Linked DNA regions of Coturnix japonica. The protein of the gene in region 4 binds, or shares a complex with, the protein of the main gene of each other region. Links are inferred from orthologs where the notes say so. Each region holds a gene or a part of one and is shown on either strand. Other genes may lie near its edges. The genes, in order: LIN54, LIN52, TFDP1, E2F4, RBL1 and MYBL1.

Region 1 (3,500 bases), on a different chromosome or scaffold from region 4:
TTACTAAATGGGCAGCCTGAGGTTTATTCACACTCAGTAAAGGGATGGGCATTTCTTGTTTTCTAGCAGCGTACACTAACCACAAAAAACCAATGCTCAGTTACATGTCTGAATACGGCTATGCTTCGCACACACTAGATTTCACAGAAGACAAGTGACTCCAGTCACCTGTGTACTCCTGGTCCCACAGCTTATGCAGATAACATTCAAAGATAACAGGAACATACATGCCACACGCATCCGAAAAAGTACATTAGAGTCAAGCAAAATGGAGGACTGCGTTAACTTACTTCCCTCCACCGCTGCTGAGTGCTGGAGTTGGCCTTGTTAGAAGATCTGAGATCTGGGAAGATAACTTTGTCTTCGCTGCTGTCTGCTGCTGGACCCTAACTTCTGCAGCATCTGCTAAGTGCATCAATGTCTTTCGCTCTGGGCTTTCTTCAAAATTTTTACAGCCAACACATTTGCATATGGAGGAACACATGATTTTTGCCTGAAAGAAACAAAGAGAAGATGAGAAACCCATCACAACTTAAGACATTCTTTATGACAAACCATGGAAGAAATGTCATTTTGTCTTAGTGTCTTATTAATTAGCCACTAAAAGAAACCCTGTCTTCTCTTCAAATTCTCTTACTGAAGTGAGATGCCTTTCCAGAATTTATGCTTGGATCTGCTGCAAATCAACAGTTTCCCACTCATGTCCTTCTTTCCCAATCTGCTGTTTTCAATAGAATTGAGCAGTTAAAACTATTAGAGAGATCAGGCTGCTACCATCTCCACATCTACAGACTGTGTTGCATCAGCAGTCTGATTAAGCTTTTCCCTTTGGCTTCAACAGACATGATGAGTGTCTGTGTAATACTGTAATAACTAATAGAGCACCTAGGGACATGGTGCTGTATGTTTCTTTCTGTAGGATTTGTGGAGTCCTTTAGAAAAGACTGCTCTTTAGTAAAGGACAAATCCAAGCCTGAGTTCAGAGTTGCCACATGTTTTTAACTGAAGCTCAGGACAGAAGTGAACAACTCTGCAATGCATACAGCTTTCTAGATGTAAACCATCAGTAGGAAAAATAGACCAAAATCATTATGGCAGAGTTTCAGCACGAGGAAGGGACAAAGCCCAACAGTGAAGTTGCAGCACCAAATGGAAAAAGCCGAAGCCTTTAGGATGACATAATGCTTCTTACCTCATAACACTCACAGTAGTTTTTGAGGCATCCCGAGCGCTTACAGTTACACCCTTTGCTGTGTCGCCGATCTGACTCTCCTTCCTTTCCTTTCCCTATTTTGGGCTTGAAGGCTTCAGGGTTTCTGTCAAGGCAAGCCTGTCAATGCAGACCCAAACACCCATCAGACTTCAGAAGGCACAAGCTGCTTTTATCCCAGCTATCTTTGGAGGCAAGCTACACAGCCAGTTTTCCCATCACAATTCCACTCAGAAACATGCTAAATTTTATATGAATGGAACATGCTGTTCACTTCAACAACCTCAAAAGTAAGAAAAAAAGACTTCTCACCTTTATTGCTTTTTGTCTATCATTTTCATGGTCCAGGTTGTTATAACAATTTGTACAGTTGCAGTTATTGCAGAATTCACCATTTGCAAAGCAATCACAATACCTGAAACAGAAGACAGAGAAAGCATTAGCAAGCATGACATTACCTTGTTGTAGTACCAATGGCAGCACCAGACATTTCTAGTCTGGTGACACAAACACACCAATAAAGGTCTTGGACATCTTGTACCAAGCCCCATATGAACAAGTGGTATAAGTCTCACTCCCAGGACTAACTCTCCCAGTGCATGTCTATTTTGGCACCATGAAGGCAACAAGTGGATATGTTGTAAAACAAATTGAAGAGTAATCAACAGAACAGCTAAACCTCTTCCTGTGTACCTTGCTACCTGTGAAGCAGACAATTTTGAGACTAGGAAGTACAGGGGACACCCCAACACACAGTGTGGGGTCTGTTACATGGAAACAAACCCAAAATGCAATAATTAAACATTTCTTAAAGGAGGTTCAGAAACCATTGAATCATTTTCCTTTGAGAAACACACCACTGATTTTTTTCTTCTTTGTATAGCACTCATGGAAGCACAGATTAATATTTCCTCCTGATATTGTACAGAAATCCGCATACTGACTCTGCTTAGGTTAAAAGCAACAAAACAACTTAAGATGTTTTATATCAACTTGTTACAAACACTAAATAGAACAGTAAAAAAAAAAACAAACAACAACCAAGAGGATGACCAAGTCTTAGACTGCTTAAGAATCACTTGTCTATTTGAGTCTTTAAAACAAACACCGTTTCCCCCTCCTGAAACATAATAAAACAGGAAAAAAACAGCAAACCAAACAGCCCAATTTTGCTGTAGAACTTCACACTGTGTACCATTATTCACAGGATTTGCTGAAGTACAGCAGACATCCACTGATGATGCTGTTGGATGTAACGTCACCGACAGCAAAAATGCAACTCCAACTGCTGAGCAGAACTGGCTCAATCATGCACAAGGGTGCAAGGTTAGAAGTTCATGATATGGTAGGGTCTATACAGCTCACATAAGCTGCACAATGGCACATGCATGGCAACATCCCCATCAACGTCAACAATAACTACGCTACAAGATAGATGTAACATTTCTTACAGACAAAAACATTTTGATTCTTGGGATAAATACGGTGTCAAAAATAAGGATTAAAAATAACCAGAAGTACTTACAATTTCAAACATAAAGACTTTGTACAATTGCAAGGCTTCCGGGGCCGATTTGCAGATTCAGAAGGAATTATTCTATAGGTGAAAAAAGAGAAAGAAAAAAAGAAAGCATCTATTTATACACAGTTTGATCAGTTTCTTCCTAATTTAAATTCAAGTAAGTGGCTTGTACTACAAACTCTAACAAACCTTCATGTTCCCTTTCTGTTAGGTTTCTGACTGACAGTAAGTGACCATTATACATAGTGTTTTCCCATTTCAGAAAGAGCTGCTTATTCACTGTAAATTTGTCTGCATGTCTCTAGTAGAAATGAGGTTTAAAGCTAGAGGATGCACCTTAACTGCAATGTGCAGAGAAAGCTTCCTTAGAACATCCCTATCCATAAGAGGACTAGGTCCAAAAAAGGTTCATAGAACAGGATCACATCTTTACCTTTGCACAAGCTGGAACAAAATAAAGATAGAGTAAATCCAGAAACAATGGATAAGCAAGCCAAAATATTGCCTTGGGTTTAAAGATGAATTTCATATCAAATGTAAGCTTTAACTGCTCTTAAAAACTAGGATTTTGTGTCATTAATCTCTTTTGATGAGATTCATTCAATCCCTATCCAGCAATTTCTGCACATTTCTGGAGATTAAATCAAACCCAATCATCTGAATAGCTGCAGCTGGATTAGGGATTAGTTTGCATCATAGTTTTGGTTGCAGCATCAAAAAGCACCTTGGTGTACACAGCTTCCAGCAAACAATAACACAAAAACAACA
Region 2 (4,020 bases), on a different chromosome or scaffold from region 4:
CAGGCTTTTGCTATTTCCCACTGTACTCCATCATTTTTTTCCCCTTGATTTAGGCTAAAATTGTCAAAACCCCGTCTAAAAACTATTACAGAAGATACACATTGATAGAATCATGTTCAGAACTATTTTAATCTACTCAGTCACTACAATTGCTAAGTCATAAAAACCCTGCAGTTCACAGACATATTTAAAAGAAACCAGTTAATAATTCACTTGGTAAGAATTCTGCCCATTAGTTAAGGAGTTCAGGTAAGTATGGAGAAGAAAAAGCAGGGGTAGAAGATGCAGTTAGTGCTGCAACATGCAGGAAGAACTGGGGCCATATAAGTGAAGAGATTGGAATATAGTGCCAAAGGCTTTGCTGAAGTCTAGGTAGACTGTGCCAACAGCCTTTCCCTCATCCACCGGGCAGTTCACCTGGTGAGGGCAGGGATGCTAATGCTGCTGTGATGGTGGGAGAGGGATCAAAGGACGAATCAGGAAAATAAATGGGGCTGAGCCGGACAGGTCACGGCTGCGAAGAGTGTAATGGATAAGCGAGGCCTCGGCTTGTGAAGGAACGCGGCGGTGGGTTAAAATAAGAATAAGACATGACAAGTGCTGATGTGGCTGGCGTTACGGCGGGACGAGCCGTGCCGCGGGCTGCACTCGGGATAACACCATCTTCAGAACTGAAGGGAGAGCAGGAAATCCGAGCTGCTCCTCGGCCCGGCGGAGCCACCGCCGCGGGCCCCTCCAGCCCAACAGCAAACAGAGCTGCCCGGCCCCACTCACCACGGAGGAGGAGGAGACGGCGGCCGAAGCGATCCAGGGAGCCCCGGCTGTCCGCGGCAGCTGGATGTGGACACAGAGCAGCCCGGTTACACGGTGCTCCCCTCCTCCTCCACACCCCCCACCTCCTCCCCACCGCCCCCCGAGGTGCCACCCGCGGCCCCTCCCGCAGCGCTGTGTCCGTGTGCCGCCTCACCCTGAGCACCACGCGCCGCCCGCCCCAAGCGCCACGAGCCACCGCCGCCATCCCGGCCGAGGGTCACAGCGCTCGGACCCCGAGCGGAGCCCCCAGCACAGGGACCCGCCCCCGCCCGCTCATTGGCCAGACGAGCGCCCCCCCCGCCCGCTGTACGCCCCCCCCGAGGGGGCCTTGCCGGCCGCCAGCCAATCGCTGCCAGGGAGAGCGTCGCCCCGCCCCTTTCCCGCCACCGCCCCCCCATCCGGGGCAGCGATTGGCCACGAGCACTAAGGCGCTCGGGCTCTGTTGTCACGTGGGTGGATTCCCGCGGGCTGTGGGTTTAGGTCACGTGACGCAGGCAAGATGGCGGCTCCCGGTGACGGTAAGGCGCGCGAATGGGGTCATCGTCACCCTGCGGTACGGTCTGAGCGGGCGCCGCTTCACCTCCGTTCTACTCCCTGTGCTGTAGGTGCCGATCTGGAAGCCTCTCTGCTGAGCTTCGAGAAGCTCGACCGGGCTTCTCCGGACCTGTGGCCTGAGCAGTGTGAGTGAGTGCGGCGGGCCCGTGTCGCTGGGGTGATGGCGGGGCTGCCGGGCCGGCCCCGCGCTCACCCGGCGCTGTTCGGTTCTCTCTTGCAGTGCCCGGCGTCGCCGAGTTCGCCGCCTCCTTCAAAAGCGTAAGATGCCAACACCACGGCACTGCGGGTCATACAGGCACTGCGGGAGGGACGAGCTGCGCAGGAACGCGCTGCTCTAAGCCCTGGGGGTGCTGCTCTTACTGCTGGCTTTGGCTGTGACTTGCAGTAACACCCAACTCGTCCAGGAAGAGCTTTCTAGGCATTAGAGTAGCCCTGTAGGGTGCCTGGAGCCATCGCGTTTATTCTTTCAGTGTAACTGGTTGTAAATAGGTGACGGAGCACTGGAACAGGCTGCACAGGGAGGTGGTGGAGTCTCCTTCTTTGGAGATATTCAAGACCCGCCTGGACACCTACCTGTGTGACATGGTGTAGGGAGCCTGCTTTGGCAGGGGGGTTGGACTCGATGATCTCTAGAGGTCCCTTCCAACCCCTACAATTCTGTGTGTGTAAATGCTATATCAGGCTTTGTATGCAGCTAAAAATGTACTTCTCTGAGAATGTTTTGCTTTTTTTTCTTCCTTTCTTTTTGTTCTTTTTCTTTTTCCTCCCCCCCAAACCAGCCTATTACAAGCTCGCCTCCCAAATGGATGGCTGAACTGGAGAATGATGATATCGATATGTTAAAGGGTGAGTATGGGCTCCATGGGCACTGAGGCTGTCTGCGGGTGGGAATTCAGTGCCTACTAAAAAGATGAGCTCAGAGACCTTCTGAAGCCTTGTGGAAAGGAAGGGATGGGGGATGCTCCTCTTAATCTGCAGACCATCTTAACCTGCAGAACATCTCCAGTTGAATGATTCTGCTTAGGAGTCTTTGTCTTGTCAATTGCCTCTATCTTTAGTTGGTCCCACAAGAATATATACTGATAACAAAAATGCTGTTGTTCTCCTTGTTACTGCTTTTTGAAGCAGTAAATCCCTGCTGTTTATTTTTTCTTCATTTTTTTTGATTGCTTTGGAACAGTTAGAATGTCTTGCTGGTTATTATGAGTTGTGAGAGCTGAAGAACATATGCTGTACACTGTAAACCGATACTGTTCAAAGTATAACTTGAATGCTCTGTGAAGCGATAAACATAAGCTGCCACTAGAGGGCTACAGTGTTAAAAATCACGCTTTTTCCTTTTAGAGCTGGGAAGCCTCACTACAGCCAACCTGATGGAAAAGGTTCGTGGCCTGCAGAATTTGGCATATCAGCTGGGACTGGATGAATGTGAGTTCTGTGCACAGATGTGATGACTGTATTATGAATCTTGCCACTGAAGTGTGTGTTTATGTTGCACTTACAGTCAGAAAAGTACGTTTGCTGAAGTGGGGAATGTCACACAATTATGACAGTGCAATAGAGAATTTTCTGAAGAAAAAAAGAGTGCTGCTCTAAGCAAGTCTATCATGGATGCAGTGGAGCCTAATAGAGCACATTTAAAAGAATTTCTTATTTTAGGTCTTGTTTTCTGTTTTGAATGCTAAGGTCCAGTGTTTTCTAGTGGCCCATCAATTTCTGACTTAACTTTGGCTTAGGTAAATCACTCAGTTTGCTTCATTTACCGCTTAGGTGCTAACACTCTGTCACAGAGTATCTGTGCCACCACTTCTGTGACTGTGCGTTTGTGTACTGCCTACAGAGTGAAAATGTAACTGGTGTGCAGGATTCTGTTAGCCATTAGTGCTCTTGTAACTTTGGGCTTCTGCAGTTATTTATTTTCCATAGTCAGCTATAGCAGGAGGTGCTGTCACTGCATTCTAAAGTTGACCTTCATCCTGCTTACCAACAACCAATTTATGTCAGTGCCTTTTTTGAAGGGGGGTGGGGGTGGGAGTGGGGGTGGGGATGGGGGGAAGATGCGTTTTTTTTATTGTCATTGCATATAGGATTTTGTTGTTAATGTGCTGATCCGGCTTTGAAGATTCCAAAGGGATTGTGCTTCCTTTAAACAGTATCTGTGTGTACTGATGCATTTAACTTTTACTGCTTTATTTTGCTCTGTCTTAGACTTCAGTTTTAGCAAACTCTTGAGCTTTACATGAGGCTTTGAAAATTTTTAGGCTCAAAGATTTTTTTCAGCTTTATTTCAGTGGGTAACAAAAAGCAGTTGAACTTTGAAGTCTCGTGATTGTGAGCCTGGAATACATATTTCTTATCAATAGATCATTAAGCCTGTTTGAACACTCTCTCCATAGGTAGAAATTTACTTTCAGTGCCAACATCTACAAGGATTGAATAAAGCTTTTAGTGGAGTAGAAGTTATACTTTAACAATGGAAATCTTAATCAAATAATAAGATTGGCTGGTGGTTTGCTTTCTCGATTTATATAACGTCTCACTGTATTTGCAATTTATTTTCACCAAAGTCTATCTCTGTAACACATTGAGTGCTTTGTGTGTCATGACGTATACATGTATGTTAGGAAATCTTCCATATATAATTAAATGCTG
Region 3 (3,500 bases), on a different chromosome or scaffold from region 4:
TGAATTTCCTCGGAATGCAATTTCCGCATGAATGGATTGTTTGTATTTTAATTCTTCTGTTTGTTAGTCTTTGAAATTATTCTAGTTAACTACTAAAACCCAATTTACATTAATATCTTACACTAAGCCACCAAACTAGAAATAGCGTGTTTCTGGTCATGGAATACAATGAAATACATGGGAATTCAAATAAATAAATGAAAATACAAAGCCAACAGAGGCTGGTAAAAATCAGATAGTTGTGGAAATTGCAAATCCACAATTGCCTTTTCTTTCTGCACGCCCTTCCTGATTCTCATTCTTACTGAATACATAACACAATACATTACAGTGAACCAGCAGTACAGGGACTCAGGGGATTACTGCTTCCTACAAAATACTAGGTGGAATCTGGAAAGGAGCTCAAGTTGCAATTTAGCAACTGTGCCAATGCAATTAAGCCACCTACAGGGCAGGGCAGCAACGTTCAAGAAAGGCAAGACAAAGATCATCACAAGAGATGACCTGTTAAAGTCAAGCTATTTTATCTGAGGACTACTGCAGAAAAACATTCATTGTACAATACTGAGGAGTACAGTATGAATTATTGGTCCTGTTAACGCAAATTTTTTTTAAACATACAACTACAGGAAAAAACCCATCATGGCTCATAGAAGGTTGCTGCCTTTGCCATAAGCAACAGTCAACACCATGGTCCCAGTGCTACCTTTATCCCAAAATTAATCTCTAGCCTTCTTAGAGGTCTCCCATTCCCCAGTGGGACAAAACGAGGAATGCAGATGTAAGTTACCTTGCCCTATAGACAAGAGTACCTTGACTGTACCTGTAGAATGAGTTCTTGTAGTTGAGATTGTTTTTGCTTTATTCTTTCAAGTCTTCTCTGTTTCTCCACCTTAAGACAGAGAACAAACTGATTAGTTTGTAGGTTTTAAATAGTGTTTTCTATCAACATTTTCTCCCCTTAAACTGTTTAAATACCAGATAAATGAAGGCAACAAGTGCATCAGTCACTAATGCACTGCAGAAGATGCTGAGATCTACAAAGTCTCACATCAGTACTACCAATGGAAACTGTAACAAAGAGAGGAGTTAAGATATCCAGGAATAAAGCAGAATATAGAAGGAAGAGCATAAAAACATCTTTGTAAGTGGAAGCTATGCCTCAAAGAGTTACCCACATTCTAGGAGGGAGGCAAGGAGCATGTAGACCAGAATGATCTACTTAGTATACCCTGCTGATATTGGAGCTATCGGAGAAGAGAAAGATACTTAAACAAATGAAGCTGCTTACATTCCCACAGTACTAAGCACTGATTAGATCTGCTGCATTTTATACAACTAAATAGCAATATATATATGTGTGTGTATATATATATATTCAAGCAATCTGGAAAATTCAGATGCATATTGCATAAACATAAATTAAAAAGGAAGTCAGAAGGGACCAAACTATTCTACTTTTTATCTCAGAAGATCGTATGCACATGTAGAATAAAAGCAAATCCAAGTTTTTATTCAAAACAAATCCATTGTGAATTTCCTATACATTTACCTCTAAATTCTGACATTCCTGAGCCGAGTTTGTAGGTAGACCAATCCATTTGATTTCCTTCTTCTCCTTAGAGATAATGTTCATGGCCATGAGGACATTTAAGGCATCATAGACACGTCGTCTAATATTCTTCTGGTCATAAGCCTGCTGTAGACATAGAGCGTTAATCAAAAACATGCCTGACAAAAACGTCTGAAAATAAATTACAGCAAATGTGTAATCTTGGTTATTATCTGAACTGTTTAATTAAGCAATGGGAGAAGAAATCTAAGCCTCCCCACTCAGTTCACACGTAACTAACCTCCCATATACTCACTGATTCATTTGGTGAAATGTGATCATCAGGGGTAGTGAATTCTGCAACCAGCTCGTCTGCCACCTCATTGTATGAGGTCGTTCCTTTTCTTTGTACCTTCTCACAAACCTTCATAGAGAAATGACGTAAACCTGTGCCGCTCTTCTCTCCTTTTCTGTTCCGTTTCCTAAACATACATATGATATGTTTTTTAAGAAGATTTGAACTTTTGGAATACTTAACATCTCTTTTCCAAGCACAGATACAAAAGTCCAAGGTCTTCCCTTTTATTCTACTCTTCTCCCCTTCCCAATGTCTTTTTTGTATGATTCCACCCTTGAAGGTAAACAGACTGTCTTTCCCACACTGCCAGCATGAAGAGCATATACACTATCACGGCAAACATTTAGAGCAAAAGTTCTAAGTAATTTATTAATCCTTTGTAACTTTTATTTTGCTCACCCAACAGACCACGGCGAAGAATCTGCAGTCTGGTTTTGTGATACAAAATGTGTGTTAGGTGTATGTGGACTTCCTACCAGGATAGTATTTGGCACTGAAGGTCTCTGAGGTGTACCGATAACCTACAACAAAGATAAAAATCATTTAGAAAATAACCATAACTATCCCAGGATGTTCAGATACTGCATTATTCATGACACATTAGTCAAGAACCAAAAAATGCTTACTTTCTATACACTCGTAACAGAAGCCTTCAACTTAGACACACAAGCACAAAAACCTTCAGACCGCACATCACATGGTTAAATCACTCCTTAAGCAATAATCATTTTTATTTTATCCTTCCAAAATGAGCTTTTCATGCTTACTGGGTTTCTTACAATGCTTCAACTCTCATTTAGACAAGGTCCAAGGCAAACAAAACAAAAAATCCTATCAAACTACATCTAAAGATGTTGCAGTAAATTACTGTTAAAATATAAATGTACAGAACAAGAAGGTTTGAAAATGAGTAAAAGCTGAGAAAAAACAGTGCAGTGTCAAGGAATTGTTTCCTACAGGCAGACTCTCACTGCAGAGCTAAAAACAAAGTATGAGTACATTAGAAGTGAAGAAAAAGAATGGTGTACCCTTCTCAATTACTGAGAAACTACAGCTACACTATAGCTATTTTAGCCTCATAATAATCTGCTTTTATGCTATATGTTTATATCATAAGGCCCATGCTTTCACATAAAGGGTATGGCTCAGATCTTGGTTCATGTATTATGCAAATACTCTATGTGAGGGATAGAGAACCTTAGAAATACAGTAAGTATCCTTAAGAAGCCTAATATTCCTATCAAATATTGAGAAGTCTTCACATAATGAACAATCATATGTTAAGACTATTCTGTTTTTCTATAGAACACAGAGGAATAGATAAATCCTACAGGCAAAAAGGAGCTTCTTCAATGTGGGGTTACTTGCTTTTATTTTAAATAACTCTTTGAAATCTAATTACTCTCACAAGTGCCTTATTCAAAGGTAAACAAGTATGTACTGACAATTAAGGAAGACCCCACAGCCCAGAATTTCAGATTCGTCTAAGAATTATTTAGCATTCTTATCGTCTCCTTAAAAGAAATGCTGATAACCCTAGGCTTTACTCACAAGTTCACAGAAGATCATGACTTTGCATTAAAATAGCAC
Region 4 (4,219 bases):
TTACCACGGATGGGGCCATGCAGTGAACAGGCTGCCCCGAGGAGCTGTTATCCAACCCACCAGCTCAGGGTGCCAACCTGAGGTGACCCAGCACGACAAGGACACGTTGCCCACGGGGGTCTCGTGCCACCTGGGAAGGCAGCGAGTCAGAAGGTGGCACAAAGAGCTGCTGGTCCGTGTGCCACTCCTGGAGGCTCTGCCTGAGGGAGCCACGCTGGTACAAGCACACCCAGGCTCCTGGACTCCTTGGTGTCCCAATGGGCTGCATGGGGCTGTCTTCAGAGTCCAAATAGAAGTGTCCAAAGCCAAGCCAAGGGCTGAGGGCTGAGACACAGCTCATCTTCAGGGCTCATTGTTTCCCCCCTTCCGAGAACTGGGGCTCCCTGCACCCCCCCGGGAGATGCCACCTTGCCCCCACCTGAGCTCCCCCACAAGGACACCGCTCGGGCTCGGGGCTCCCAAAGAAGAGCAGCGCATCCCTGGAAGGCGGGGAGCTCAGAGGGAAGGGCTGCAGCGTGGGGAGACGGTGGCAAAGCAGGAGATGGGGGAGCGTGAGCAGCACGGAGCGGCAGCCCTCCTCCCCTGCCCGGCACCGCGGGGGCTGCAGCATCGTCCCCGTTACCTGTAGGGCTCGCGCAGCGCTCGTCCTTCGCCGACATGCCCATGGTCTCAACGCCGCTGTGCACATACGAGCGGGGCTGGGCCGAACGGAGGAAGCCGACGGTCGTTTCCTCCGGCACACGGCGATCCTCAGGGGCTCATTGTGTTCCCGAGGACGCGCTCAGGATGTCGGGGCCGGAGGGGGAGCAGGGGAAGGAGGAAGGACATAAAGAGCGGCCACTCGGTGCGGGGCTCCCTATGGGGCAGGGTGACCATGGGTGCCCCCCATGACTGCTGGGTGCCCCCTATTGCCGCTGAGTGCCCCCTATGGCTGCTGAGTGCCCCCCATGGCCGCTGGGTGCCCCCCATGGCCGCTGGGTGCCCCCTATGGCGTTGGGTGCCCCCTATGGCCGCTGGGTGCCCCGGGGCTCTGCTACGTGCAGGATCTGAGCTGCCCTGTCGCTTTGTCTGAGCTGTGGGCACCCCGTTGGATGCCCAGCGGGGGTTCGGTGCGTTCATTCATTACGGGAAGGGGGCGGTGATGGCTCGCAATGCTCGGGGACACGGGTTGGCCATGAATGCTTTGGTTAACGGGGAATGGGATATCCCGGGGCCGCCGGGTAACCTCCATAGGGTTACGATGAGGCAATAGGGCATTGCCCGTCCAGAGCAGCGGTGGGCTCGGGCTCGGGCTCAGCCCCGCAGCCCTGTGAGCAGCCCACCATGGGGCTGGGACCCCCGGCCCCGACCCCCGCCCGTCCTCGCCCCCCCACGTGGTTTCCACGCCCGCCCCACAACGGAAGCTCCCGTCATACCCCCCGAATCGGAAGCGGAAGCGCGGCGGGCCTGGAGCCGGCGGCGGGCAGATGGCGGAGAGCGGGCAGCAACCGGCCGGGGCTGCGGGAGGAGGGAGCGGGGGAGCCGGGGCGCCCAGCCGGCACGAGAAGAGCCTGGGGCTGCTCACCACCAAGTTCGTGTCGCTGCTGCAGGAGGCCAAGGACGGAGTGCTGGACCTGAAGCTGGTGCGGGGCCCGTGGGAGGATGGGGAGGCCCGGCCGGGGGCATCGATGTGTGAGGGGGGGGAGCGTGGGGACGGCGGGTCGAACGATATGGCTGCTCTGCTGCTGCTGTACGGCCTGCACGCTGTGCCCCTCCGTGCCCCTCTGCTTGTGCGACCCTCCAGTTCTGTTCCCATCAGACAGAGCAGCACTCTGCTCCATGCCCTGCAAGCAGAATGAAGGCAGCCCTGGGTTATGAAGCTGTGCTGGAAGTACAAGGCTGGGGTGGTCCCCTGGCTATGCTGTCCTCTCCTATGGCAAACTGCTGTCTACTTGGATTAGGGCAGAAGGACGATGTTCCCTAAGCTGTCAGTTCAATGGGGGTTATGTTTGTTAGTGTGGTTTGTGCGTGGTCACTGAAGTCCTGCAGTGTGAGAGGGGCAAGTCATTTGTGCATTGCCCTCTGTGTGACACCACTGTGTGACTGGCAGCAGTTAAAGTCTTGTTACTTCTGCATTGCCGTCTGGTTGGTGAAGCAATATCGGTGCCTCCTGAATGTGAGGGGAGGGTCCTTCAAAGGGTCAGGATCATGGGATCATTGGGGTTGGAGGGGGCTGCTGGAGTTTATGCAGCCCAGCCCCATTGCTGAAGCAAGTCCCTGGATTAGAATGCACAGGAAAGCATCCAGGTGGGTTCTGATACCTACAGAGAAGGAAACAGCACAGCCTGTTCCAGTGCTCTGTCCTCCCTGTATCCATTTCCAGAGGACTCATGACCTCGTGTCCATTCTCTATCAGCTGGCATCAGGTTTTAGGTATAAAAAACCTTTTGAGTGTCAGCTTTGCTGAACTGCTGTCGTTCAGGCAGCCCTCTACCTTCAGATTCTCATCTCTCTTTACACTCGAGAAGCACTGAATGTTTAGGCTGCCAGGCTTGTAGCCCTGCCCTGCTGCTGAGGAGCTGTATGGGATGGTGAGCAGATAGATTGGTCAGAAGTTAATCTGATAGGCAGGAAGGAGAGAAGCATGACTGAGAGTTCGGAGTTAAGTGTCTGACTTCTATTGCAGGCTGCAGACACCTTGGCTGTGCGACAGAAACGACGGATCTATGATATCACGAATGTTCTGGAAGGGATTGGGCTGATTGAGAAGAAATCAAAGAACAGCATCCAATGGAAGTGAGTGATGGAGTTGAAGTCATTCATGGGTCCCTTCTAATCCAAGGTCTTGTCTTCTGGGTGCCTTTCTGCTGGTTTATCAGTGGCCTGTGCTGAGCTGTGCTGATGGTAGTAATGAGGAATGTTAAAGTATGTATGGCACATTGCTTTTATAGCAGAGCTCGTATTTTGGTGCAAACTATTTCCATGTCTCGAGTTAGAAAAGACACCTTTCATGGTGCTGGAGGTGGGGGATGGAGGAGGATGCACTGCATGGTGCTGTGCTGGAAGATGGTGTGAGGCTGCAGGGCGGGTACAGGTGAGATTCTCTGGCCTTGATGTGTGATAAAGGGGGAAGGAAGGAAGGTGGCAGCTCTCAAAAGCCGGGTGTTTTGGTTGCTCTGTTAGCTGATGCATGTCACTGCTGTTTGCTCTGTGCAGAGGGGTGGGTCCTGGCTGCAACACGCGTGAGATTGCTCACAAACTCATCGAGCTGAAGGCAGACATAGAGGACCTGGAGCAGCAGGAACAGGAGCTGGAGAAGCAGAAGATGTGGGTTCAGCAGAGCATCAAAAACGTCACAGAAGACGTGCAGAACAACTGATATCCTTTTGTCAGCCGGCCGTTCCTCAGGGCTGAAAGGCAGGAGCTGGGGCTGGGCTGGCAGTGCTCTGCTGGGGGCACCTCATGTTGCTGCTCTGAAAGGATAAGGAGGTCATCCCCCCCTTGGAAGCAGATGAGCACTGCCCAGTATAGACAATAGCTTCCTTTGCAGCGTTTCTTGTGCTCAGAAAGGAAGGAAACTCCAGGTGCCCTTTGAGTTCCGTCTTCGCAGGAAACTGCAGCTGTTGTCCTTAACCTTCCAAACGCTAGCTTATGTGACACACGAAGATATCTGCAAGTGCTTCACAGGTGAGGAAATGGTGCTGCATCATAGAGATATAATGCTGCAGTCCTGTCAGCCTATGCCAGCTGCTTTCCTTTCTCTAGGAAAGAGGAGGCAGCACATCTTGACTTAGGGCTGAGCATGGGCTGCCCTCAGCTGCATCATGCCTTGTACCAGGAGGAGAGCAAAGAGGAGGGAGTGAAGAGCAGGACAGAAGGGAATGTGCTTCTTGTTGTGACTTCACATCCTTGAGGGGCAAAAGTGGCAAAAAAGCTGCAGGAGTCTGTTTCCTCTCTGTTGGCAATTGCACTGATAGCTGCAGGGCCAGAAATACCCCAGTGCAGTTTGGCAGCCTTCTCAGCTGTAGCAGCGTGGATTCAGAGCTGCTTTCTGCTTCAGTGAATGCCTGCCCTCTCCTGACCCTCTGCAACCTACATCTGCTTGCTTGCCTCAGAGAGTTCAATGGGGAAGCTGCTTATCCTGCCCACCCCAGCTGTGCATAATCTCACCCTCATCTGACTGCTCACCTCTTCCAAGCTGTCTCATCATCAGCTCTTCCGTTTCTCATCTTTCCTTTCT
Region 5 (3,930 bases), on a different chromosome or scaffold from region 4:
CCTGTGACCCCAACCTCCTCATTCAGAGCACTGTGTTTAGCCCATGACACACACCAGGATCCAGACAATCATGACAGCTACTCCACAAGATAACATCATCTTTAATTAAAACAGGTTATCACCTGCAATTTCCATACTGCCAAGGAAGCAAGGATTCTCCACTGACATAAGAAGCCAAAGCAGAGGGGGGCCCTACAGCACTCATCATTAGAAGGGAGAGTTCAGCTCCGCTCCTGCCAAAATGCACAGAGGAACAGACCTGAACCAACACAAGTCCTCTGCCTACCAGTGCACCTTCCTCCATACACACGGGATTTCAGTGTTCAAGACAGGACCGTCAGTATGAGCGCTATCACACATCCTTCAAATAGCAATACGAACCTTCCTATCAAACAGCTTAGAAATGTATGGCTTGAAGTAGTGCTCCTTTATTCCTTTCGCTTCCACAAGAAGCCCATCATGCAGCTCACACAGCGTGGCAATGATGCACGGGGGGTCCTCTGAGGCTTTCATCTCTAGTGCGTGGAAGTCAGCTGGTAAACCTGGGAATGGGCGAAGGGGAAAAACAAAACAACCAACCTCCATCTTTACTTAAAGAAGAATAACCAAAGGAACAAAGTGTATTTCATTTTGAATAACTGATCCCCACCCTACCTTTAAACGACGGATTTAGCAAATCTCTCCGATTTGGACACAAAATGGCATTTGCAAAAACCAGGTCCAAGCAGCACAGAAGCAGATGATAGGAATTTACTAAATCATCCCCAATCATACGGAAATTACCTTTAAGAGACAGCACATCATGTCAGGCGACGCAACAGAAGTTTGTAACTCAGAACGCATGCGAAACACGTGGCTGCAGAGCACAAGCCTACCCTTAGTGTACACAAACAGGGTCCAGCAGAAGTTGAAGAGATCCTTAACACCACACAGCACCCGCCTGTCAACGAGAGGGGTGGGAATCAGTCTCTGCTTCCAGGAAGCTGAAACATACTGCTTAGCAAGTTTCCTTCTGTTTCCATGCTCAAAGCAACAGACAGAGCCATCACCTCATGAGTGCAAACTAAGGCACACTGTAAGCTGCGGGCACACAGAGCAGCTCCTCTTACTGCAGCCTCCTGGATAGCTCTGCAGAGCTTCTGGCACAGCATCACCGACTGCTCTGAGCCAACAGCTGCCTGTGCTTGGTGCCCCAGGCACACTGCTTTGGTGATGGTGTAATTGCAACTGGAGTCTCATAGAGCTGCACGCAGAGCCATGCTGAGGGCTCTCTCAATTGCAGTGCATCTTTCTCCTAAACGTTTTACTAATGCATCACACATCCCTTCAAAACATGCAACCACAACTTGCACTGCAGCTCTTCTGGTGAATAGTCTAGGAGAAGAAATGAATGAAAACCACCTGACAGAGAAGCTAACAGTGCGGTCACGCTAATGAGAGCTGCTCTGATGAAGGAACATTAACAGTGCATGGACATTTCTCCTTGTGCAGACGCAGCAGAACTGGCTGCAGCAGCAGCAGCTCCCTTCCCATTTGTGCACAAGGAGCTACACCAGAGCGGGTTACCACAAATTAACCCCTTGCATCCAGACCAGCACGTGAAGCAGCAGAAACCCCCAGCAAAGAGCCAGCTCAGCTCCTGCTGCTGAAGGTCGTATCCTCATCAGAGCAACCAGGGACAACCACACAGTCAATGCAGAACAAGGACAAAGCCCTTGAATCTAGAAGCGCTCTGTGCATCAGGAAGACACCAGAAGCAGTTACAGTGTCACACAGATGAGCACATTGTCTGCATTTTTCTCCCACAGAAGGGCAGCGCTCACCTGGCACTCACATACGGGCAGTCACATAAAGCAGCCGCACGTTGGAGCCCCGCGGACGGAGCACCCTGAGAGGCACGGGGGGACTGACAGCCCAGCCTCAGCCACCGCCCTGCACCATCCCTGCGTTCACACTCAGTCACTTCAAAGCTCGGCCTTATTTTCTAAGCACAACAAACGTTCCCGTTACTTGTAAACCCATGCAAAGCCACACGGCGCTCTGCAGTACCTCTGCTTCCTGCTGCGCTGGGGTTTCCAGGTCTCCTCGTTGGGGTTTTGAAAGACATCCAGAAATATGGGCTCGAACTTCCTGAAGATGACGGTGGACACCTCGAAGTTCCTCTCCAGTCGCTCCACCCGCTCCCGGAACTCCTGCGGCACGTTGGCCATGTCCATCCACTTCTTCATTTTGCTAAAGAACTGAATCAGACTTAAAAGGAAAAAAAAAGAAAGAAAAGCCGACGAGGAAAGCGCCACTTTATTATCGGCTTTAACGCGCGTCCGTTCTCAGCGCCGCCCCGCGGGCCGAGCTGCGCACCTGAGCCTGGCGGAGCGCAGGATCCGGGTGAGCGACACGCCGTTCCCCTCCACGGTCCCGCAGCCCACGGTGGGCAGCACGCGGCGGCGGCACGCGGCGTACAGCGCGCAGGCCAACCAGTGCTGCGCGTCCCCCTGCAAGGCAACGCCGCGCGTGGGGCCGGGGCCGACTCGCCACGTCGCGGCCTGACGCCCGGCCTCACCGCCCACCTCCAGGCTGTAGGTGCCGCGCAGCGCCGTGAAGTCGCGCAGCGCCTCGGCCGCGCTGCCCGCGTCCAGGTTGAGCTCCCGGCACAACCGCTCCACGGCGGCGCCGAGCTCGGGCTCGAGCAGCGGCTCCGTGCGGGACATGACGGCGGCCCAACAACGGCCCGACCCGGCCCGGCCGGCACCGCGCCGAGCTGCTCTGCGCGCCAAAACCCACCACCGGAAACGGCGCGGCCGCTTCCGGCGCCGTGAGCGCCAACGGGCGGGAAACGGGAGGGGAGCGCGGGGCTGGGAGGGGCTGTGTGTGTAACGGAGGGGGAGCGGGCGGGGCGGACGGAACCAGGACGTGTCCGTGTCCGTGTCCGTGTCCGTGTCCGTGTCCGTGGGATGGCTCGTCCCTGGGCCCGTCCCATGTGCGCGCTGTGCCCGCCGCTCCGCAGAGCCGCCGTCCTCGGTCGCGGTGCGGGGCGGCCTCGTGTGTCACGGCGCTGCCCACAGCGTCACCTTGTGCCGAGCGGGGCTGCGGGGCCGGGACCGTCCGCACATGGCGCCGTGCGAGCGGCTCCTCGGGCAGCAGCTCGGGACCTCGGAGCTGCCCCAGCCCCGCACGGCTCCACGCACCGCCGGGAACTGACCCTTATCGCGTCCGTCCGCCCGAGGAACCGAACGGCGACCGCTCAGTAACGGCGCCGCCCTGAGCCGGAGCGACACCGCGAGCCGCTGCTCGGCACCTGCGGGCGTTCGCCGGGCTCCGGTGCAGGTGTCGCGGTGTCAGTGGGAGAAGGACCGTCCCGCAGAGCGGTGCTGCCCGAGCGCACCGAGCGATGCCGGCCGGTACCGCGGCCGCTCTCCGGGCTCCGCCTCCGCCCCCGGGCGCCCCGCAGCGCTCCGGGATCAGCCCGCCGTGCCTTGGGCCGCTCCGCTGCGGGAGCACGGCGGGACCTCGGCGCTGGTGCCGAGAGAAAAGCGAGGAACCGGTATCACAGTCAGGTGAATTAAACGTTCACATATATTTGCTGAAAAAAATTATATACATCTGTAGCAAGGCTCTGCCAAGTCTGAAAGATAAGCATCATCTCGTCACTAAATTAAAAAAATAAAAATCTGACCTTTAAATCTTTTTTTTGTTGGTTTTTTTTTTTGTTGGTTTTTTGTTTTTTTTTCCTTTTCTTTTTATCCACATCCAAGAGCACAGACCTTTATTTGTTAGCGCGTTTGGTGGGGATGTGTTTGTGTGGGGATCCAGGACAACCCGCGGAACGTCGGCGTTTCTTTGGGATAGGATGGAAAATGAGAAGGAGCTGCCAATGCCTCACAGCGCAAGTAATGCACAGAGCACATCGGGTTGCAAAAGGGTCACAAAGCA
Region 6 (3,951 bases), on a different chromosome or scaffold from region 4:
TGATTCTCTCCAAGCAAGCAGTGCCTGCTGTGCAGCCGTGCCCCTGCCTGTAGCAACGCCTCACACCAGGGGAATGCTGTGAGGTCATAATCTCGCCCTTTAGAATTTTCACAGCTTCGGGCTGCATGTACCAGGAGAAAGTGAAGGTTGGCAAAGCACACAAGCTTGGTGTGTAAGTATGTGTGGTACTGTGTGGCTTTTCACTTTTTTGGGTGGCAGCTGCTTCTCATACGGTGCATGAAAAGAGCTATTTATTATTATTATTATTATATAATCAAAAATAGTAATAATAATATGCTCTCCAAAAGCAGCGTGACTGTGACAGGCCCCTCAGTCTCCCTCCCCACAGGAGAAGATCGCACGCCGTGTTCCCGCCGCGCCCGCCGAGCTGTGAGGGGCGGAACGGCGCCAGCCGCCAGTTCCCTTCGATAGCTCAGCTGGTAGAGCGGAGGACTGTAGAGGCGCCGCCTGCGGGAATCCTTAGGTCGCTGGTTCGATTCCGGCTCGAAGGAGGCTTCATTTTGCCCCACAGGGCCGCGGCCGTTTTTTCCCTCTCGAGGCCGGGCAGCCGTTTCTGTGCCCCGCGCGGGCTGCTCCGTCCCCGTCCGCGCGGTGCGGGCGTTACGAGGCGGCAGCGCTGGTCGTTGGGAGGAGCCTCGCGGCCCCGTTACGCGCCGTCCCCGCCGCTCCTCCTCCTTCCCCCCCCGCCCCCGCCTCGGGCTGGCGCGAGGATTCGCGCGGCCCCGCCTCCCCCCGGCCCCTCCCGCGTCCGTGTCGCGTGCGGCGGCGGCAGCCAATGGGGCGGCAGTCCGCCTGCGCAGATTCAAACGGTGGCTCGGGAAGGAGGCTGGGCGCGAGATTCGGCAGCACCGACCGAGCCCGCCGTGACTGTGGCGGTGGCGGCGCAGCCGGGGCCGCGGGGGGGGGGCGGAGCGGGGCGAGGTGAGGCGAGGTGAGGCCAAGACGGGCTCGCCGTCGGCTCGGTGCGGGAAGGCGCCGTCGGAGCCCGCGGCGGCTGTGACAGGAGAGAGGGCGGCGGGCGGGAGAGGGGCCGCTGCGCGCCCCGTCCTTGCGGGCAGGGCCCGGCCGAGCCATNGGGGGGGCGGCTGGCGGCGGGCGGGCCGGGCAGAGCGGGGCGAGGTGAGGCGAGGTGAGGCGAAGACAGGCCGGGCGGCGGCTCGGGGCGGGAAGGCGCCGCCGGAGCCCGCGGCGGCTGTGACAGGAGAGAGGGCGGCGGGCGGGAGAGGGGCCGCTGCGCGCCCCGTCCTTGCGGGCAGGGCCCGGCCGAGCCATGCCTGACGCGCTCGGGCCGGGCCGGGGCTGAGGGCGGCCGGCAGCGCGTCTGCGGATGCCGCGGAGCTCCGCGGGAAGGAGGGAACCGTCCCAGGAACGCGAAGCCTCCGTCGGCCGCCGTTGCCCCTCTCCTCCCCCCGCCCTGCCCGAGCTCGGCGGCTGCGGGGCGGGGAGCTCGGGCGGGGGCTGGGGAGCTCCGCTGCCCTGGCGGCCCCCCCTATGCTGCGACCCGAGGATGGCCAAGAGACCGCGCAGGTGAGTGCGGCGCCGCCCGGCCCGGAGCGCTGCCAGCTGCCGTCCCCGCCTTCCCCCTCCCTCCCCGTGCTGGGTGCCGCCCCCCTCCCTGCGCAGGTGCCCCCTGCCCGTCCCCCTCCCTCCTCTTCCTCACCCCCCTCACGGCCGGCCTGGGTGCTCCTCCTGCGGGTATCCCCTTCTGCTGGGACACAAACAGTCCCGGGGTGCTTTTTTTGCCTTCCTCGGGGACAGCTTTCCTCACGGGCTTCGGTAGCGGCCGCAGATGGCTCTGATACGTTTGTTGTTTACTGATATGGAGATGGGTGTGTCTTCGCTTTGAATTCAAACGTGGGTCTGGCAGAAGTACTTTATTGCTCCTGTCTTAAATAGAAAAAGTGGTAGCACGGCGTAAAAGGAGAACGAGGACCGAGATAGTAAAGGATGCTCAGTGAGCAGCGGCACTTTGTGCACTACCTGGGGCTGCTGCAGCGCTCCCGTGGAGCTGCTGCTGTTCTCAAAGTCGCAAATAGTTTCTTTGGCAGATACTTTTCTTATGAAAAACCGCAGCTAAACCAAGAAAGCGATGCTTTGGAGTTCTTGCTGTGTGAGGAGCAATGGTGCTCTGAAGGCTTTGCTGGCAGAGGCTCCGGTCTGCAGGAGCCGGCTCAGGGAGTGTTTGTGATGCTTGTAGCAGGGTGCCTTCAGCTGCACTCCTGCAAACTGTAGTTTCATCTTTACGAAGCTTCATCTTGTTCTCTCTGTCAGGAGTGTGAAGGGCTTTGATGTCACAGCAGAAAATAAAACTAGCTGTGGTCGTAGAGGAGCCTCTGGCTAGAGATCTGGAGCTCCAGGAGAGCGCTGTGGTAGTGAATGGTGATGGTAAAGCCCAGTCTAAACCAGTGTAGTTCCAAGTTCCCAGAAGGTGATTTCAAGGTCATTAGTTAAAGTGTGGTGTGAAAAGAAACTATAATTTTCTTTGCACCTAATGGAATGAAGTTTAATTTTCATAAAGATTGGCTCTTTGGTTGTTTTTTAATTATTATTACTTTAACTGGGATGTATTTTTATTGTTTTTATTAAATAAGAATTACGTAATAAAGGAAGACTTGAGTTAAGAGATGTTTAAAGGCGGCCTGTACGTAGCTCATGGAACACTTCCTTGTTCCAGTGACTCGTTTGATGGAACTTGGTTCTAACTATGCTGTGTTAAGTCCACTTTCACAGCTGCTGTGAGTTGCCAGGTGAACAGTCCAACCTCATTGAGAAGCCTTTTGTTCCCAGTTGGAATTGCAGCAGTCCCAAACATCCTTCTGTGTCGGTCTTACAGTCCCATGTCCCGCTCAGCACAAGGCTGATGATGATGCAGCAGCTCCTGTGTTGAGCCAGGTGTAGGTGACTCATTGCCTGCAGAGTGCACTGGCTCCAGAACTGTGGGTACGAGGCTTCCAGCGACCCTCACCTCCATTATTTTCTTATTATATTTTAATAATTTTAAAATCTGGGTGGCTTTTCACATAACCCAAGTCTTGGTGCTTGAATCTGGCTGTTGTGTAGTGGTTGAGCAGGAAGGTGCTGCTGGCAGTGGGCTGAACTGCCAGGCCAAATCCTTGGTTATAAGTAGAATCATAGAATTACCCAGGTTGGAAAAGACCTTGAAGATCATCAAGTCCAACCGTAGCCTAACCATAGTACCCCAACTCTTAACAACCCTCTGCTAAATCATATCCCTGAGCACCACACAAGTAGATTGTATGGTGTGCTTGGTATGAACTAGGATTATAATACCAAGGTATGCTCTTGAAATTGGTCAAGAGCCTGTGGGAAAGAGGCAAAAAAAGAAGTTAATGTGCATTAACTGACAGGCACAATTGGCTGCTCTATGGGCTGTGTGAGCGAACAGCGGGTTCTAGAATTAATTCAGAGCTCTGCCATCTAATAGTTGTTAGGACACCAGCACAGGTTTGCTTCATTTCTGAGCAAGGCTTTATTTATTGGGGGTGGGGAGGGAATAATGCATTCCTTGACTGGGAAGATAAATTTAGTTCTGAATAGGAACTTGTGATATTGTGCTTTATATTGATAACAAAATGGGTGAAACTTAAAACGTGGTGTGGAGTTCACTATAATTAGGGCTGTATAAGTAGCTGTGAGTCTCCTCTGTGTCTCTGCTGTAACTAACACAGAGGATCTGCCCTTCCTGATGCTAGGCCTAGGTTTCCTCGCTTGTTTAAGTTTGTGCTGTCCAGCATGAATCACTGACGTGTAAGTTTGAGTGTTGTTTCCATGAAGCATTTCCCTGTGCTTCCTATTTGAAAGGCTTTGTTTATTAAGGCTGTGAAGCAGGGATTTCTCCAGTAGATGGAGTGTGACCTACGTGGAGCTGCAATCGTTACCTGGTTTCCCGCCCCGCTGACTCTTACCCAG

The links.
Region 1: E2F4 (region 4) and LIN54 share a complex: the UniProt entries of both Homo sapiens proteins name them as parts of the DREAM complex. The link is inferred for Coturnix japonica from reciprocal best matches to the Homo sapiens genes E2F4 and LIN54.
Region 2: E2F4 (region 4) and LIN52 share a complex: the UniProt entries of both Homo sapiens proteins name them as parts of the DREAM complex. The link is inferred for Coturnix japonica from reciprocal best matches to the Homo sapiens genes E2F4 and LIN52.
Region 3: E2F4 (region 4) and TFDP1 share a complex: the UniProt entries of both Homo sapiens proteins name them as parts of the DREAM complex. The link is inferred for Coturnix japonica from reciprocal best matches to the Homo sapiens genes E2F4 and TFDP1.
Region 5: E2F4 (region 4) and RBL1 share a complex: the UniProt entries of both Homo sapiens proteins name them as parts of the DREAM complex. The link is inferred for Coturnix japonica from reciprocal best matches to the Homo sapiens genes E2F4 and RBL1.
Region 6: E2F4 (region 4) and MYBL1 share a complex: the UniProt entries of both Homo sapiens proteins name them as parts of the DREAM complex. The link is inferred for Coturnix japonica from reciprocal best matches to the Homo sapiens genes E2F4 and MYBL1.

Annotation. Positions count from the first base shown.
Region 1 is NC_029519.1:41,226,681-41,230,180, reverse strand, and holds part of LIN54 (protein lin-54 homolog), read right to left. Parts: intron 2,808-3,500; coding exon 2,736-2,807; intron 1,626-2,735; coding exon 1,523-1,625; intron 1,331-1,522; coding exon 1,193-1,330; intron 494-1,192; coding exon 291-493; intron 1-290. UniProt on the Homo sapiens protein: Component of the DREAM complex, a multiprotein complex that can both act as a transcription activator or repressor depending on the context. In G0 phase, the complex binds to more than 800 promoters and is required for repression of E2F target genes.
Region 2 is NC_029520.1:34,237,034-34,241,053, forward strand, and holds the start of LIN52 (protein lin-52 homolog), read left to right. Parts: upstream 1-1,220; 5' UTR 1,221-1,312; coding exon 1,313-1,331; intron 1,332-1,418; coding exon 1,419-1,493; intron 1,494-1,588; coding exon 1,589-1,626; intron 1,627-2,147; coding exon 2,148-2,214; intron 2,215-2,712; coding exon 2,713-2,796; intron 2,797-4,020. Other genes in the region: ALDH6A1 (methylmalonate-semialdehyde dehydrogenase [acylating], mitochondrial), read right to left, coding at 775-834, 968-1,018.
Region 3 is NC_029516.1:123,705,282-123,708,781, forward strand, and holds part of TFDP1 (transcription factor Dp-1), read right to left. Parts: intron 2,432-3,500; coding exon 2,310-2,431; intron 2,035-2,309; coding exon 1,869-2,034; intron 1,700-1,868; coding exon 1,553-1,699; intron 893-1,552; coding exon 824-892; intron 1-823. UniProt on the Homo sapiens protein: Can stimulate E2F-dependent transcription.
Region 4 is NC_029526.1:1,552,154-1,556,372, reverse strand, and holds the start of E2F4 (transcription factor E2F4), read left to right. Parts: upstream 1-1,419; 5' UTR 1,420-1,466; coding exon 1,467-1,622; intron 1,623-2,665; coding exon 2,666-2,775; intron 2,776-3,195; coding exon 3,196-3,357; intron 3,358-3,622; coding exon 3,623-3,666; intron 3,667-4,219. Other genes in the region: EXOC3L1 (exocyst complex component 3-like protein), read right to left, coding at 623-665. UniProt on the Homo sapiens protein: Transcription activator that binds DNA cooperatively with DP proteins through the E2 recognition site, 5'-TTTC[CG]CGC-3' found in the promoter region of a number of genes whose products are involved in cell cycle regulation or in DNA replication.
Region 5 is NC_029535.1:564,174-568,103, forward strand, and holds the start of RBL1 (retinoblastoma-like protein 1), read right to left. Parts: upstream 2,801-3,930; 5' UTR 2,709-2,800; coding exon 2,359-2,708; intron 2,251-2,358; coding exon 2,050-2,250; intron 941-2,049; coding exon 876-940; intron 784-875; coding exon 655-783; intron 543-654; coding exon 382-542; intron 1-381. UniProt on the Homo sapiens protein: Key regulator of entry into cell division. Directly involved in heterochromatin formation by maintaining overall chromatin structure and, in particular, that of constitutive heterochromatin by stabilizing histone methylation.
Region 6 is NC_029517.1:104,296,962-104,300,912, reverse strand, and holds the start of MYBL1 (myb-related protein A), read left to right. Parts: upstream 1-1,151; 5' UTR 1,152-1,348; coding exon 1,349-1,548; intron 1,549-3,951. UniProt on the Homo sapiens protein: Transcription factor that specifically recognizes the sequence 5'-YAAC[GT]G-3'.